2 linked regions of the Nothobranchius furzeri genome follow. The main gene of each other region encodes a partner of the protein of the gene in region 2 in a complex. Links are inferred from orthologs where the notes say so. Each region holds a gene or a part of one and is shown on either strand. Other genes may lie near its edges.

Evidence for each region. The genes of interacting proteins can lie anywhere in the genome.
Region 1: gtf2h4 (region 2) and polr2h share a complex: the UniProt entries of both Homo sapiens proteins name them as parts of the TBP-based Pol II pre-initiation complex. The link is inferred for Nothobranchius furzeri from reciprocal best matches to the Homo sapiens genes GTF2H4 and POLR2H.

The regions. Positions count from the first base shown.
Region 1 is NC_091748.1:62,881,227-62,889,295, reverse strand, and holds polr2h (DNA-directed RNA polymerases I, II, and III subunit RPABC3), read left to right. Parts: upstream 1-3,513; 5' UTR 3,514-3,686; intron 3,687-3,919; exon of another isoform or gene 3,920-3,974; 5' UTR 3,975-3,986; coding exon 3,987-4,059; intron 4,060-5,996; coding exon 5,997-6,080; intron 6,081-6,167; coding exon 6,168-6,261; intron 6,262-6,355; coding exon 6,356-6,439; intron 6,440-6,598; coding exon 6,599-6,716; 3' UTR 6,717-6,945; downstream 6,946-8,069. Other genes in the region: lisH domain-containing protein ARMC9, read right to left, coding at 1,321-1,413, 1,516-1,671, 1,992-2,162, 2,386-2,511, 2,631-2,705. UniProt on the Homo sapiens protein: DNA-dependent RNA polymerase catalyzes the transcription of DNA into RNA using the four ribonucleoside triphosphates as substrates.
Region 2 is NC_091751.1:25,553,181-25,561,135, reverse strand, and holds the start of gtf2h4 (general transcription factor IIH subunit 4), read right to left. Parts: upstream 4,497-7,955; 5' UTR 4,374-4,496; intron 3,858-4,373; 5' UTR 3,856-3,857; coding exon 3,740-3,855; intron 3,673-3,739; coding exon 3,568-3,672; intron 3,460-3,567; coding exon 3,328-3,459; intron 3,231-3,327; coding exon 3,048-3,230; intron 1-3,047. UniProt on the Homo sapiens protein: Component of the general transcription and DNA repair factor IIH (TFIIH) core complex, which is involved in general and transcription-coupled nucleotide excision repair (NER) of damaged DNA and, when complexed to CAK, in RNA transcription by RNA polymerase II.

The DNA of each region.
Region 1 (8,069 bases), on a different chromosome or scaffold from region 2:
GTATTAGAAATGCATCAATACAGAAATATCAGCATGCACAATATCAATAATGCGAAAGCTTTCAATTCAAACATCTTATGTTTAATCATGCGTCCTTTTCTTGTATTGTTTATTGTAATGCTTACATATTCAATGATTTGACCTTGCTTTGACATTTTATTACTATTTATTCTACTGAAATCTTCAATTTTACTGCAGGTTTTAACTAGGTTGTGCCATAATTTTTAGTGTGTTTAATATTCCATCATACATTATTGCATCCATTTTATTATTTTATTGTACCTTTACTGTTATTTTTAAGATGTTTGCCTCCTTTAGGGTGCTACTGTACAACAGGCCAACAGATGGAAGCAAGCCTTTAGCTAACTTAAGCTACAGGTGTCCTGTGGACCGATAGTGGTTTCTCCATTGCCGATACCGATAACGTAAAGGTCATGGTCAGCCAATGGCTGATATGTTCAGCTGATTTGCTTGGTTGATATCTTATTTTCATGCTAAAATGTCACTAATAACATCAGCTGATGCACAACATTTCTGAAGCTGAATCAGTTTTTGAACGCGGAATTTAACCAACTGTTAAATCTTAATTTCGTGCAGGGCTCAGTGTGAAAATATGACATATCAAGGAACTTACAACCTAATAAATATTCAAAACTGGTAAATAAAAAAAATTTTTAGTTGACAGAATCAGTTTTTAGAGCATTTGTTATGCAGATGCTATTAAGGAAAGCAAATATACATTTAAATGAAAATCTACAGCAGCACTGGGCTGCCCAGGGATGTGCCTGACTTAAATTGGCTTTATTAAGGAGGAATATCGGCCAATAATCGTATTTTAAAAATGGTATCAACCAGATATATCGACTGACTGATATATTTGTTTACCCCTATTGGTAACAAATAAATATTGATTGACTGACTTAAGCTGCATGAAAAAAAAAATACATACTTGGCAATCCCATGGACACACACACTTGTATAACTGCTCACAGACAGCACATGATGAAGAGTGTTGTAACTACAGAACATGTGGGTGAACTGAAATTACAATCGTGTGCTTTTATGAGCAAGCTGATCCTTCTCAAAAGACCCTCTAGGTGCATTATGTTCGTTTGCCTTGCATTTTAAATTATTCTTAGATTTATCTATGTAACTTTGAAAGCCCGGCTTAGTTGCATTTCTGCTGTGAAATAATTTCTTTATGACATGATCATTTTCAGCCTGAAGCTCCCTGCTGGCATTTCTTCACACGTTATTACCAGAGTCGCCAGCCGTTTTGTTTAAAAAAAACATATTTGTCAGTCTAAAATAAAAGGATACATATAAAGTCAGCAGCCTCGGTGTCTTGGATGATTTTAATGACTGTAAAAGGAATTTCTCCAGCTTAGATTTCAACTGTGGGATCCATGAATCCTAAACACAAAAATATTAATAAGCAAAAGAAAAATGTAAATTCAGTTTGAATGTTGCAGTCGCTGATGGGCGAAAAATACAGAAAGAATCATTTCTGAGTACCTGAAAAAGATCTTTGAAGGACGGGTGAACGGTGGGGTTGGGAACAAAAGGCAAAGCGTAGTAAGGCAAGAACTCAGTGGTCTGACTCAAAGCTGCACCCCGAGTTTCAAGGTACTGCTTAAAGAGGGAAATCCTCTCCTCAAACTCAGCTTGGTCCTGGAAAGCGATTTGAAATTAAATGTTTAAACTATCAGTCAGACAAATTTCCTGTCTACAAACATGCTCAAAATAAATCAGGAAGCATCTTTGCCACATGACTTTTTTCCTTCCTAAAGGGTGGCTTAATTATTTTAACTAAAGATGATGTTCACATAAGGGATTATGCATCATAGTGTAAGTTAGACAACTACTGTTATTTAGTGTTGTTCAAGGGTACTACTTTTGAGAAAGCATGTGGCGCAGCTTGGTGGACACTTTGAAAACAACACATTTGGTTGTATTTTGGATTTCCTCTTGGTAATAAAACCAATACTTACTCGTCTATTAGGGTGTCTTCTCAGTGGATAGATGGAAAAGTGGATATGGAGGTAGAACTCAAGGCTTTGTGCTTCAGTGTCTGTGTGTTTGACCTCAGAGGGAATATTCTCTGTCCACAGCTCAAAAAACACCTTGTGGTCTCCGTCATCAAATGAGCTAAGAAGGTCCTTCTAGAAACGTCACATTCAGAAGGAGAAAATCGCACAAAACAAGAACTCAGAGAAAATATTCAGGTAAATATTCAAAATCAGCTGGACCATCTTGGCATTTGCATACTTGTTAGGCTGTGTACGTCCTTTTGTAGGATTACTGGAACTACATAAACGTCTCCCCACTATGACAGAAAACACACCAACATAGCAGATTTCCATGTTGAAGAAGAGCATTGTTTACCTGAATGACACGAGTCTTAGAGTCTCTTAGAGCATTTCCTCTCGGTTTTGAGACCAGCTTGCCTTTCCTTTTGCATTCCTTGTCAAAAACCTGAACAGTCTCCTCAAACTCCTCAAACGTGAGGTACTGCAACAAACAAACAAACATGATTCAACTTAAACAGTGAAGGATGACACTGAGTTTTGGTGCATTTCATTCATTTTCAGCGAACATCAATATTGCTGTGACCCAGATATCTTCTCTACCTCTTTGATCATCCCAAGAAGATCAGCTTCTGTTGCCAAGACGTCCCCCATCTTGGCTTCCTCACTGGAACTCATGTGTGTACCGAAAACATTTAATACCCCTTTAGACGGGAACGATTTCTGCTTTCATTCAAAAACGTTTATAGATCTAGGGTTCAAGCTAAAAGGTGCAAGAACAAAAGAGCAAAATACATAAGTAAAAACTTAATTCTATGAGCAGTAGTAAAAATAACCAAACACCAAAACGCACAACGGAATGCTAGTGTAACTTCGGCAGGCATGTGGGGTTTTATACCATCTTAAATGGTTTAACATCAAGATTAGCAACAACTTATGAAGCTACAAGCTATCTAATTAGTTGACACACGACAGGACATTAACATGGCTCCTACCTTATTCGCACGTAATTTGATTTGGGAGAATTGACGTACAAACAAGTTTGTGATGCGTTAACAAGTAAACGAGATCCATAAAGTACATTTTTGCTCGCTTTGTCGGACAGTGAACGAAAAAATAGCTGGCAACCACAAACAGGAGGGACGCTAAAAATACCTAGCAACCAGAGGGTCACCGGAAAGTAAATGTGAGTGTCGTAAACTAAAACTAACTAAATGTATTATATTTTACAAGAAAATATATTGAATAACCTTAAGTTATGAGGCATGCGATTTAGAAAAACAAAAGTAAACGATTGTAAATTATAACAACGCACAGACAAACGTAATTGTTGACCTTTTTTAGGATACATTATGCAATTTTAATGGTAAAACTATTATTTTAGTACGAGTATTATATTTTTACAATTTCTTATGTTTTACTTTGCTTTTTAACATAAACATTTATTTTTTCATTTTATTTTGTTTTATGAGAAGTACTTCCCGTGTCAAAGGTTAATCACGTTGTTTCTGCGCGCCACAGATTGGCTAGATAGCAATGAATTAAATTACTCTTAAATAACAAATCTAGCTTATGTTTTGAACAGTCGCTGTTGTCCTAAAGAATCGAGTAGTTGCGAGGCTTCTGTGTTTGCATTACGACATCTAAAAATAATTTGGGGTAAGTGCAACAAATGAATTAACAGTATGCTAAAGCTAGCTGTTAGCCAAAATAGGAGATTCAACGTGGAAGATAAAACTTGCCAACTTTAACTGACGTATGTCCTAGTCTTATTTTTATATAAAAGTATTTTATGGTAATATGCTTATAGCAGTTGATTTCTTGTGCTACCTAACGTTTCATTGCTTTTTAAAAGTTACTATAGTTTATTACGTTTTATTTTTTGTTGACAGGTTGTTCAAGTCATAACAGGGGCTTAAACATTTGATCCCCTGCACAAATTCACAGAGTGGGCCAACGATGGCTGGAATTTTGTTTGAAGATATCTTTGATGTGAAAGACATTGATCCAGATGGCAAGAAGTTTGACAGAGGTACTTATGAAGTACAATAACGTATTGGGGTGACTTATTTAATTATTCCATCATATTGTTTTTGTCGTATTGACATAATGCACAGGTATATTGACTCATGAGTAATCATTTATTCTACGTTTTTATTTGCCCACGTTAAGGCAGACTTTACATAGTGATGTTAAAGAAAATCTGGCATCCTGAAGTTAAAAGCTAATATAAAATTGAAAGACATTCAGCTCATTAAGAGAGCAGTTAAAAAACCAACTTGCTTATTGGATTTAGTTTATACAGGTGCTGGCCAGTAAATTAGAATATCATCAAAAGGTTGAAAATATTTCAGTAATTCCATTCAAAACGTGAAACTTGTACATTATATTCATGCAATGCACACAGACCAATGTATTTCCAATGTTCATTACATTTAAATTAGATATTCATAAGTGACAACTAATGAAAACTCCAAATTTGGTATCTCAAAAAATTAGAATATTCTGAAAAGGCTGAATATAGAAGACACCTGCTGCCACTCTAATCAGCTGATTTACTCAAAACACCTGCAAAGGCCTTTAAAAGGTCCCTCAGTCTTGTTTTGAAGGCACCACAATCATGGGGAAGACTTCTGACTTAACAGCTGTCCAAAAGACAATCATTGACACCTTGCACAAGGAGGGCAAGACACAAAAGGTGATTGCTAAAGAAGCTGGCTGTTCGCAGAGCTCTGTGTCCAAGCACATTAACAGACAGGCGAAGGGACGGATAAAATGTGGTAGAAAAAAGTGTACAAGCTCTAGGGATAACCGCACCCTGCAGAGAATTGTGACGACAAACCCATTCAAAAATGTGGGGGAGATCCACAAAGAGTGGACTGCAGCTGGAGTCAGCGCTTCAAGAACCACCACGAGGAGACTCATGAAAGACATGGGATTCAGGTGTCGCATTCCGTGTGTCAAGCCACTCTTGAACAAGAAACAGCGCAAGAAGCGTCTCGCCTGGGCCAAGGACAAAAAGGACTGGACTGATGCTGAGTGGTCCAAAGTTATGTTTTCTGATGAAAGCAAGTTCTGCATTTCCTTTGGAAATCAAGGACCCAGAGTCTGGAGGAAGAGCGGAGAAGCACAGAATCCACGTTGCATGAGGTCCAGTGTAAAGTTTCCACCGTCAGTGATGGTGTGGGGTGCCATGTCATCTGCCGGTGTTGGCCCACTCTGTTTCCTGAGGTCCAGGGTCAATGCAGCCGTCTACCAGGAAGTTTTAGAGCACTTCATGCTTCCTGCTGCTGACCAACTTTATGGGGATGCAGACTTCACCTTTCAACAGGACTTGGCACCTGCACACAGTGCCAAAACCACCAGCACCTGGTTCAAGGACCATGGTATCCCTGTCCTTGATTGGCCAGCAAACTCGCCTGACCTTAACCCCATAGAAAATCTATGGGGTATTGTGAAGCGGAGGATGCAATACGCTAGACCCAACAATGCAGAGGAGCTGAAGACGACTATCAGAGCAACCTGGGCTCTCATAACACCTGAGCAGTGCCACAGACTGATCGAGTCCATGCCACGCCGCATTACTGCAGTTATTGAGGCAAAAGGAGCCCCAACTAAGTATTGAGTGCTATACATGCACATTCTTTTCATGTTCATTCTTTTCAGTTGGCCAACATTAGAGAAACAAACATTTTTTCATTGGCCTTTAGAATATTCTAATTTTCTGAGATACCAGATTTGATGTTTTCATTGGTTGTCACCTATAAATATCAAAATTAAACGTAATAAACATCGGAAATACATTGGTCTGTGTGCATTGCATGAATATAATGTACAAGTTTCACGTTTTGAATGGAATTACTGAAATATTTTCAACCTTTTGATGATATTCTAATTTACTGGCCAGCACCTGTATAACCTACAGCAGACAATGTTTATAATCTACTGACAAATTCTCACCTATTGCAGTGTCTCGTCTGCACTGTGAGAGTGAATCTTTTAAGATGGACCTCATCTTGGACGTGAACATTCAGATCTATCCTGTGGATCTTGGTGAGAGCGTAAGCCCTTTTACCGAGGGCACTCTTATTTAGTTAATTCTTAATACAATAAAAATCTGACTTATAACATATTATAAAGGTGACAAGTTTAGACTGGTGATTGCCAGTACTTTGTATGAAGATGGAACACCGGATGATGGAGAGTACAATCCTCAGGATGATCGACCATCTCGGTGAGACATTTTTTGCACTCTTCCATCATCTCGTAGTGTGTGTGATCTTTTGATGTTTGAGGTTTGGGCTCTCTGTTTACATTTTCATTCATAGAGCGGACCAGTTCGAGTATGTGATGTATGGAAAAGTCTACAAAATTGAAGGAGATGAGACTTCAACAGAAGCTGCAACTCGCCTGTGAGTAAATTTCTTATTGCTGCACAATTTTTACAACAAATAAAATAAAATGATCTAAGTGTTGAAGTTAAGGAACAATTATAATTTTTTTAATGATCATGAATTTAAGATCGGACATGTATTGTTAATCTGCTTCCACCGATTTGCTTGATGTTTCAGATCTGCTTATGTTTCTTATGGAGGCCTCCTCATGAGGCTGCAGGGCGATGCCAACAATCTTCATGGTTTTGAAGTAGACTCCAGAGTCTACCTCCTCATGAAAAAACTGGCTTTCTGAACTAAAAAATCCCCCCCCCAACATACACACACAGATTGTTTCAAAGTCATGGTGAAACAATCACTAATACTCGGGTCTGGAGCAGCTGCCAGATGGAATACTGGACTAGTTTTATTATTATTTTTCCATAATGTTGTTTCTAGGACAGAGAAGATTTTTCATGAAAAAAAAACTTTTACAACTTCTAAATGCATGCAAATTGTAAATAAAGATTTCTTTTGTAAAATGATTCATTCATTTATTTAGAAGGATCAGTGCACATCAAATAATTTTTATCGAAGTATCAATACAGGTAAATATGCTGGATTATGTGACACATATAAATTTACATTTGCAGTCCCTATAGGCAGGGCGCACAAAAGCACAGCAAACAGTAGTTACAAAAGGGACACGTCACAGACAGTACTGTGCAAAAGTTTTAGGCAGGTGTAAAACTGCTATAAACAAAGAATGCTTTCAGAAATAAAATGATTGGTTGTTTTTATCAATTAAAAAAATGCTAAGTGAATGACCCCAAACATCCAGCATAAGACCTTAACAACTATCTTCAGCATAAAGAACAAGAAGTCCTGGAAGTGAGGGTCTGACCCCCACAGAGCCCTATTTTAACACAGTGGGGTGTGTCTGGGATCACATGAAGAGACAGAAGGTTGCGAGAAAACCTACATCCACAGAACATCTGTGGTTAGTTATCCAAGATGTCTGGAACAACCTACCAGCCCAGTTCCTTAAACAGCTGTGTTCAAGTGTCCCTAGAACAACTGATGCTGTTTTGAAGGCAGAGTGGTCACACCAGATACGTGTCTCTTTTGTTCATGAACTCTTTTATGTCGATTGATGAAAATAAACGATTAACACTTCCATTGTTGAAAGCATTCTGTTTGCTGCATTTTGTCATACCTGCCTAAAACTTTTGCTCAGAGCTGTGCACATTACATTTCATACATTAGCAAAGGTCAAAGGTTACTTGACTGCATTCAGCCAGTGTTTCAGCTGACTTGAAAGCTTGTGCTGTTGAGCACTCCCCTATAAGGAGCAGGAGACTTACAGATATTTATGGGGGCATTTTGTCCAGAGGCTGTTTTTCTGTAAGCGACCTCACGGACCGAGACAGCTGTGACCCCCCCCTTTTTTTTTCTTTTATGGTCGCAGGATGGTCGCGACACTAGGCCAGCATGGCGCAGAGCGAGGTCTGATCAACGCTGCTTTCAGCTGTAATTTTGCTTTATTCATTTTCTGGAGTTTTTTTCCATTGACCCATCTCAGCAAAGCCTGAGGTGGACTTTAAACATGCTAACTTTTGTTTGCTCGTTATCTGCAAAACATGGGGAGTTGCTATAGTAATGATTTTAG
Region 2 (7,955 bases):
TCAGCCATAAAGAACCTCGACAAGCTCTGTTGCAAGTTACACCTGACCGCAACGGTTCCTTCAGAATAAAAGCTGAACCTCACGACCCCTTCAGGGTCTCGGAGATGCCAGTGATAACCTGTCGTGACCTGGAAGCATTCCAAGACTAGTTTGGTCGGCACCGCTGCTTTTCTACCGGCTTCTGTACCAAAGAGGGTCCACGAGGACCTCGACATTCTGGATCTGATCGGAGGCTTCCCCCGGGGTACGCAGACCGACAGATGGCGTTTCATGTGTGTTATAAATCTCCTCCTAAGTTTAGAGCGAAACATTCACTCCCACTCAGACCTAAATGCTTCTCCGGATCCGCTGGTTCTGATAACATTCCACACACACACACACCATCATCATTTCAAGTCTCACTCCACTTTAGTTCCATCAGTACACAGAGTGTTTAAGTTAGTCTTGTTTAAATTGTGTAGAAATAAATTTCTTAACTATTTTAAACCTGACTCTCTCTCTCTTTCCTTAGAGTTAATACGAAGTGTCACTTAATCCCTGCAATAAAAAGTTCTGATCTTCTGGTTAAAATAGTCAAAGATCCATCAGATTGATATTTCATATTTCTAAGGAATCCCACATTTTATGGTTCATAAGTAAGATGTAAACGACCCATCCTTTACACCTGACTTAACCAAGCTCGTCTCATCCATGAAATTCACCACCTGCAATTTAGACCCAATCCCCTCTCCCCTCATCAGAACATGTCTTCCCTCTCTCTCCCCTCTCATTATCGGTATCATAAACACCTCCCTAACCACTGGATCTGTCCCACCTTCACTCAAACTCGCCTTCATTACTCCCATTCTGAAAAAACCCGGTCTGAACCCAGACTCTATGGATGGTTTCAGACCCATCTCTAACCTCCCACTACTCTCAAAGATCCTGGAACGCTCAGTCGCCACTCAACTACAGCAATAACTACAAACCTGCCAACTCTTTGAAACTTCCCAACCCGGCTTCCGTGCTCATCATAGCTTTTGTCATTAGACAAAAGGGGAGGAGGACATTTTTCTTAAGGAGGCGAGCGGCTCCGAGTGCCAACGTGTCAGCAGGTGAGTGGTTGAGCCAGGTGGAGGTGTGGCGAGACTCAGCAAGAGTCCAGTGCAGTGAAGCCACGTAGAACTGCACAGACTACGTCACCCTGTAGCTCAGCCAACAGCTGTGGCTGATTCTAATTCAATGTGGAGCAGAGTTTTAACCTGAAGATGGAGATATCTGCGGTTTTGGGCTGAAATTTTTAATTTACAGTAAGTTGCACTAAACTGCCAAAATAATGAATACACGTGTGTACAGCACTATTAGACACTCATCTGTACAGGTTACCAGTAAAAAACGTTCATTTAGGTGTTACTCGCTCTTTAAAGCAGAAATCCAGTGATATTTACAAAAGGGCACCATCTAGAGGCAGAAAAATGTATTGCACCGTAAGCCCCTCTCGCTACTTCCATGATTACGGCGGAAGCAACGTCTTTTATTCATGAATGTGCACCGCTAGTCGGCCAACAGAGCTTAAACACGTTGTTTTACAATTATTATTTTCACCTTGTGCTGTTTATTAATTCATCTATTTAACATATTCCCATCTCACCCTCCGCGGGTGGTCTCATCCTTCAAAGCTTGTGTCCTCTACCAGAGGTCTGGGAGCTTCAGTGTTCTGCAGTATCTTAGATTTCCTTTGAACTGCACTTTTGTGGACTTGCTCGTCCTCTACCGCCTTATGGATGTTTCCCACTTTAACCTCGGGGCTTCCAGTCCACACTCTGTACACCAGTGGTTCTCAATCCTGGTCCTGGATGGTCGGTATCCAGGGTGTTGTAGTTTTAACCCTGTTTCAACACACCTGATTTCAATCAGCAGGTGATTTACAAGCACCTGCAGAGTCTGGTGAGCTGCTGCACAGGTGATTCAACCACTGAATCAAGTGTGTTGGAGCAGAGAAACCGCTTACCGGCCCTCCAGGACCAGGATTGAGAACCACTGCTGTACACGATGCCAGCCACTTGGTTGTGGCGTTCCATTTAAGTTTTCCCTGCCAGCATCTTATACCCTGCAGTTATGTGGTGGAACGTCTCAGGAGATACTTCAGTTATACACACACACACACACTTTTAAAGACTTACTTGTCCATAAGAAGTATCGCCAACTATGCACCTATCTAAGTCTGTCCTCAAATGTATGTACACCTGTGATAACATCTGTACATGAGCAGATGTCTAACGCTATTGGCTAATGCTGAACTGGCTCTACGGGACGGGGGTGGGCTTATTGTCTATGTTACATTAAAGGCTAAGACGATGAGATGAGTCCTGAGAGTCTGAGTTGTGACGACATGGTCCTGCTTTTCTGACAAGACCTGACCAAAACATCACAACCTGAAGCTCTTACACTTTCGGGTAGGGATGCAACGATACCACTTTTTTCTAAACCGATACGATACCGATACTTGGATCTGAGTACTCGCAGATACCAATTACCGATACCGACACTTCTACCACACAAAAAAATGCAATGATTTGGAATACAGATTTTATTTTCTTCTCTGCTTTCAACAGGAAAAGACTTTGAGGTAGATAAAAAGTAAAATATATGAATAGAAATCATCCCAAAAATAAAATATTAGGTGGACAGAAATGACAAGTTACAGTGAAGCCATTTTCAAGCAACTGCATTGGTATCGGTTCCTGGTATCGGTTAACTTTTACCGATACAGATAATAGTATCGGTATCTGCACCGATACCGATACCAGTATCGGTGCATCCCTACTTTCGGGGAAAGTTTCATGGTAAAAACAATGATAATATTATTAGAATATTATTATAATAGTAACTATAATTATCCAATAAAAAAACTTTATAAAACAAGCTGATGAGATTCGCTTCCCTCTAAATGAGCTACTCTCAGACTTGCATGCATTAAAAAGATTTAAATAAATGTGAATATTTAAAGCAGATACTTTCTAATCTTTTAAAGTTTTACTTAAACCCATAACTTTAATCTAACCTACCTCTTCATCAGGCCTGCTTGAACCAGCAGCTGAGAGAGGTCCTGGCTGACTGCACATGGTGACCCCACCATGAACTGTAGAATGACCTCCCAGCGCTCCATGGCGTAGCGGTCTAGACTTTCTATGTCCCGTGCATGACGATCTGGACCCAGGGCACTCTGCTCTTCAGCCCATGCGGTGCCACTGTTTGATCAAAACAAGTGGTTCACACAAATGGATCAGACTTTTCTGGAAGAGCAGCTTCAGCTCTGCTGAAGCAGGAAGTCCTCAAGCCACTCACCCCCCCAGCAAAGCAGTCCTCAGGTTGTCTTTGAAAACTGGATTTAAAGTGTAACCCTGCAGGCCACCCTGCAGCTGCTGACTGTGCCAGAGACGGAGACCAGTCAGGACAGACACGCACTCATCATGGTCCCTGCAGAAGACACAGAGCTGGAGGAAATCAGAACCCACCTGTGACTGGGTCCCTGTTCAGGCCCACTACAGAGACGTAGGATCAGGAGACACCAGATGAGCAACTGACCTTTGACCGTCCTTTTTCATCCACAGAGCTACGGCTGCCTGGGGAAGTGGCTGATCCAAGAACAGCATGCGTATCACATAGTTCTGGGCTAGCTTGGGAAGTTCCCTGTAGGAGACCAGACAGCGTAGTGAGGAAGAGAAGAGGAGACAAACCCAGACCTGATCAGGCTCACCTGTAGACCGCCAGACAGGTTGCTGGGTGGTTGAAGAGCCGGTCTAGGACATCAGGACTCAGCTCCTTCATGTACTCATGCAGGTTCTTACACTGGAGTTGGACCCGGAGCTTCATACCTGCAACAGAAACCCACTTGAGTTTGTACTGAAGAGAATGGAGCGAGACTAGAACTCCGCCAAGATAACCGCTCCATGACAGAACGTCTTGGCAGCATCCCATAATCTATAAATCCAAAACAGTGATCCAGGATCAGGTGATGAAGGCAAACACACTCCAGTAGACAGGAGTTCCGGTCTGATTATCATGGACAAACTATCTAGCCTGGTAGCTGAAGGTGTCTGAAGTGGAATGTAAACACAAACACCTTGTGTCTGTCTGGCGTGTTGTCTTCGAGTCCCTGACACGTGACTTTGCTTCGTGGGACAGATGCAACAATGGCGTTTTTTAAACAAACGTTTAGCTTTTACAAATTCACATCAGACTCTTAACTGAATCCGCAAAGAGATTCCCCGTTTCTAACAAACACATCGAGGGATTAGGACCACGATGTACACCGGTCCAGAGAGCCGAATCTGAACGGAACTCTGGAAACTAAATCAGCTGTGAGCTTCCTGTTCGGGAAAGACGTTTACCTTCAGCTAGCTGCGGAACACCGTCAGAATCAGAACTCCAAACAGCACCTCGAACGAGACCGGGATACTGGCGTCAAGTGGACATTTTCTGAGACCACGTGACATAGACGCGCGCGTACCTATTGGTCCAGCTTTTCTTCTACGCTTTTATTTTGGTAGCTAGCGAGCAGATTTTTTTTTAATTAGAGAAGATAACATACAGGTGCTGGCCAGTAAATTAGAATATCATCAAAAGGTTGAAAATATTTCAGTAATTCCATTCAAAACGTGAAACTTGTACATTATATTCATGCAATGCACACAGACCAATGTATTTCCCATGTTCATTACATTTAAATTTGATATTCATAAGTGACAACTAATGAAAACTCCAAATTTGGTATCTCAAAAAATTAGAATATTCTGAAAAGGCTGAATATAGAAGACACCTGCTGCCACTCTAATCAGCTGATTTACTCAAAACACCTGCAAAGGCCTTTAAAAGGTCCCTCAGTCTTGTTTTGAAGGCACCACAATCATGGGGAAGACTTCTGACTTAACAGCTGTCCAAAAGACAATCATTGACACCTTGCACAAGGAGGGCAAGACACAAAAGGTGATTGCTAAAGAAGCTGGCTGTTCGCAGAGCTCTGTGTCCAAGCACATTAACAGACAGGCGAAGGGACGGAAAAAATGTGGTAGAAAAAAGTGTACAAGCTCTAGGGATAACCGCACCCTGCAGAGAATTGTGACGACAAACCCATTCAAAAATGTGGGGGAGATCCACAAAGAGTGGACTGCAGCTGGAGTCAGCGCTTCAAGAACCACCACGAGGAGACTCATGAAAGACATGGGATTCAGGTGTCGCATTCCGTGTGTCAAGCCACTCTTGAACAAGAAACAGCGCAAGAAGCGTCTCGCCTGGGCCAAGGACAAAAAGGACTGGACTGATGCTGAGTGGTCCAAAGTTATGTTTTCTGATGAAAGCAAGTTCTGCATTTCCTTTGGAAATCAAGGACCCAGAGTCTGGAGGAAGAGCGGAGAAGCACAGAATCCACGTTGCATGAGGTCCAGTGTAAAGTTTCCACCGTCAGTGATGGTGTGGGGTGCCATGTCATCTGCCGGTGTTGGCCCACTCTGTTTCCTGAGGTCCAGGGTCAATGCAGCCGTCTACCAGGAAGTTTTAGAGCACTTCATGCTTCCTGCTGCTGACCAACTTTATGGGGATGCAGACTTCACCTTTCAACAGGACTTGGCACCTGCACACAGTGCCAAAACCACCGGCACCTGGTTCAAGGACCATGGTATCCCTGTCCTTGATTGGCCAGCAAACTCGCCTGACCTTAACCCCATAGAAAATCTATGGGGTATTGTGAAGCGGAGGATGCAATACGCTAGACCCAACAATGCAGAGGAGCTGAAGACGACTATCAGAGCAACCTGGGCTCTCATAACACCTGAGCAGTGCCACAGACTGATCGAGTCCATGCCACGCCGCATTACTGCAGTTATTGAGGCAAAAGGAGCCCCGACTAAGTATTGAGTGCTATACATGCACATTCTTTTCATGTTCATTCTTTTCAGTTGGCCAACATTAGAGAAACAAACATTTTTTCATTGGCCTTTAGAATATTCTAATTTTCTGAGATACCAGATTTGATGTTTTCATTGGTTGTCACCTATAAATATCAAATTTAAATGTAATGAACATTGGAAATACATTGGTCTGTGTGCATTGCATGAATATAATGTACAAGTTTCACGTTTTGAATGGAATTACTGAAATATTTTCAACCTTTTGATGATATTCTAATTTACTGGCCAGCACCTGTACAAACAAAATGCACCTTACATTATATGTTCAAAAGATAATCATTACTTACATATTAAACATTTTCACGTATATGAAAAAAAAAGAAAATCTAAAGATGGGGTCACATCATTAACAGATTATTAACTTACTAACTCAAAATCTTCTACAAGGAAATAAAAAAAATCAGCCTTTTTCTTTTTAACTAAATTTAAAGATTTAACTAATACTTTTAAGTCGTTTTTCCAATAGGCGAGTGTTGGTTTGGTCTTAAAAATCGACATTTATGTATAAATTGTTTGCACAAAATTAATAACACATTAACACCATAATTAACTTTCTTTTTTTTCAAAAACACTCCAAACATTATCCTATTTAAGGTAAATGGGGCAATTTGAATCCCACTAGAACAAAGCCAGGCATGAAAATCTAACCAAAATATTTGTATAAAATTGCACAAAAAATAGATGGTCTAAGTCCTCCTCTTCTGTTTCACACAATACACAATTACCAGCTTCTATATTGAATCTATTCCCAAGGAGTCTATTTGTTGGGTAAATTTTATTCAAAAATTTAAATTGGACTTCTTTCCCTTTAGGAGGGATAGGGAAGGTGATATAATCACTTCTTATTTTTTCAATTTCTTCCCTTTGGAAATCTTTTAATATGTAATTAGTTCTAAGTAAATTTGGATAAAAAAGATACCTTAATGACGATCTTAGAAGCTTATTATTGCATTTATCATCACAAAATCGAATATCATCTACCGTAAATCCTCCAATACAGGCCGGTATTCAATTAAAGGCCGGGTCTCCAATTTTGGCCGGTGTCGGAGTCGGCGGAGGTGAATAATGGCCGGTCTCTTATTGTGGCCGGGTGGAATGTGGTAACAAGCAAGTACGGGGGCGGTTGTGTCATCGTCTCACTTTTGATTTGCCAGTGATAGACCGCGAGGGTAACTTTAACCGTGCAGAGACGAAGAAGAGGCGAAAATTTGATATCAAGTTCAAAGAGAACGTGCTGATTATGCTGCAGAACACTCTGGGGAGCAGTAGCAGGGGTTGTATGAACTAGTCGACTTCACTATAGTGACTTTTTTTGCCTGTCGTCGACTAGTCGCTGTCACGTGATAATGACCGGCAAGATGCAGTCCACGGAAAAGACAGCAGCCTGCTGTCAGCAGGTGACAAGCTCCTGCGCTGGGGGGGGGGGGGGGGGGGCAATGCGCTGTGACAGTGCGTCGGTACTGACACGCGATCGTTCATGTCGGTTCATTTCCTTTGATGTTTTCTGTCTTTTATTTGCGCCTGATGTGTTTCGCTGCTGTGGAGCGGGGCGCATCACCTTGTCCTCCGATGCACTGATCACTGATGCGGCCGCCAAGCAGGGAGCGCTCCGCTGTTTTTGCGGTTGGATCTGCCTCCTGAGCACGGCCACAGTAACAATCAGGTGTTGCCAAATTATTTAACACGCAATCGTTCATGTTGGTTCATTTCCTTTGATGTTTTCTGTCTTTTATTTGCACCTGATGTGTTTCGCTGCTGTGCAGCGGGGCACACCTTGTCCTCCGATGCACTGATCACTGATGCGGCCGCCAAGCAGGGAGCACTCCGCTGTTTTTGCGGTTGGATCTGCCTCCTGAGCACGGCCACAGTAACAATCAGGTGTTGCCAAATTATTTAACACGCAATCGTTCATTTCCTTCAGTGCATCGGAGGACAAGGTGATGCGCCCCGCTCCACAGCAGCGAAACACATCAGGCGCAAATAAAAGACAGAAAACATTAAAGGAAA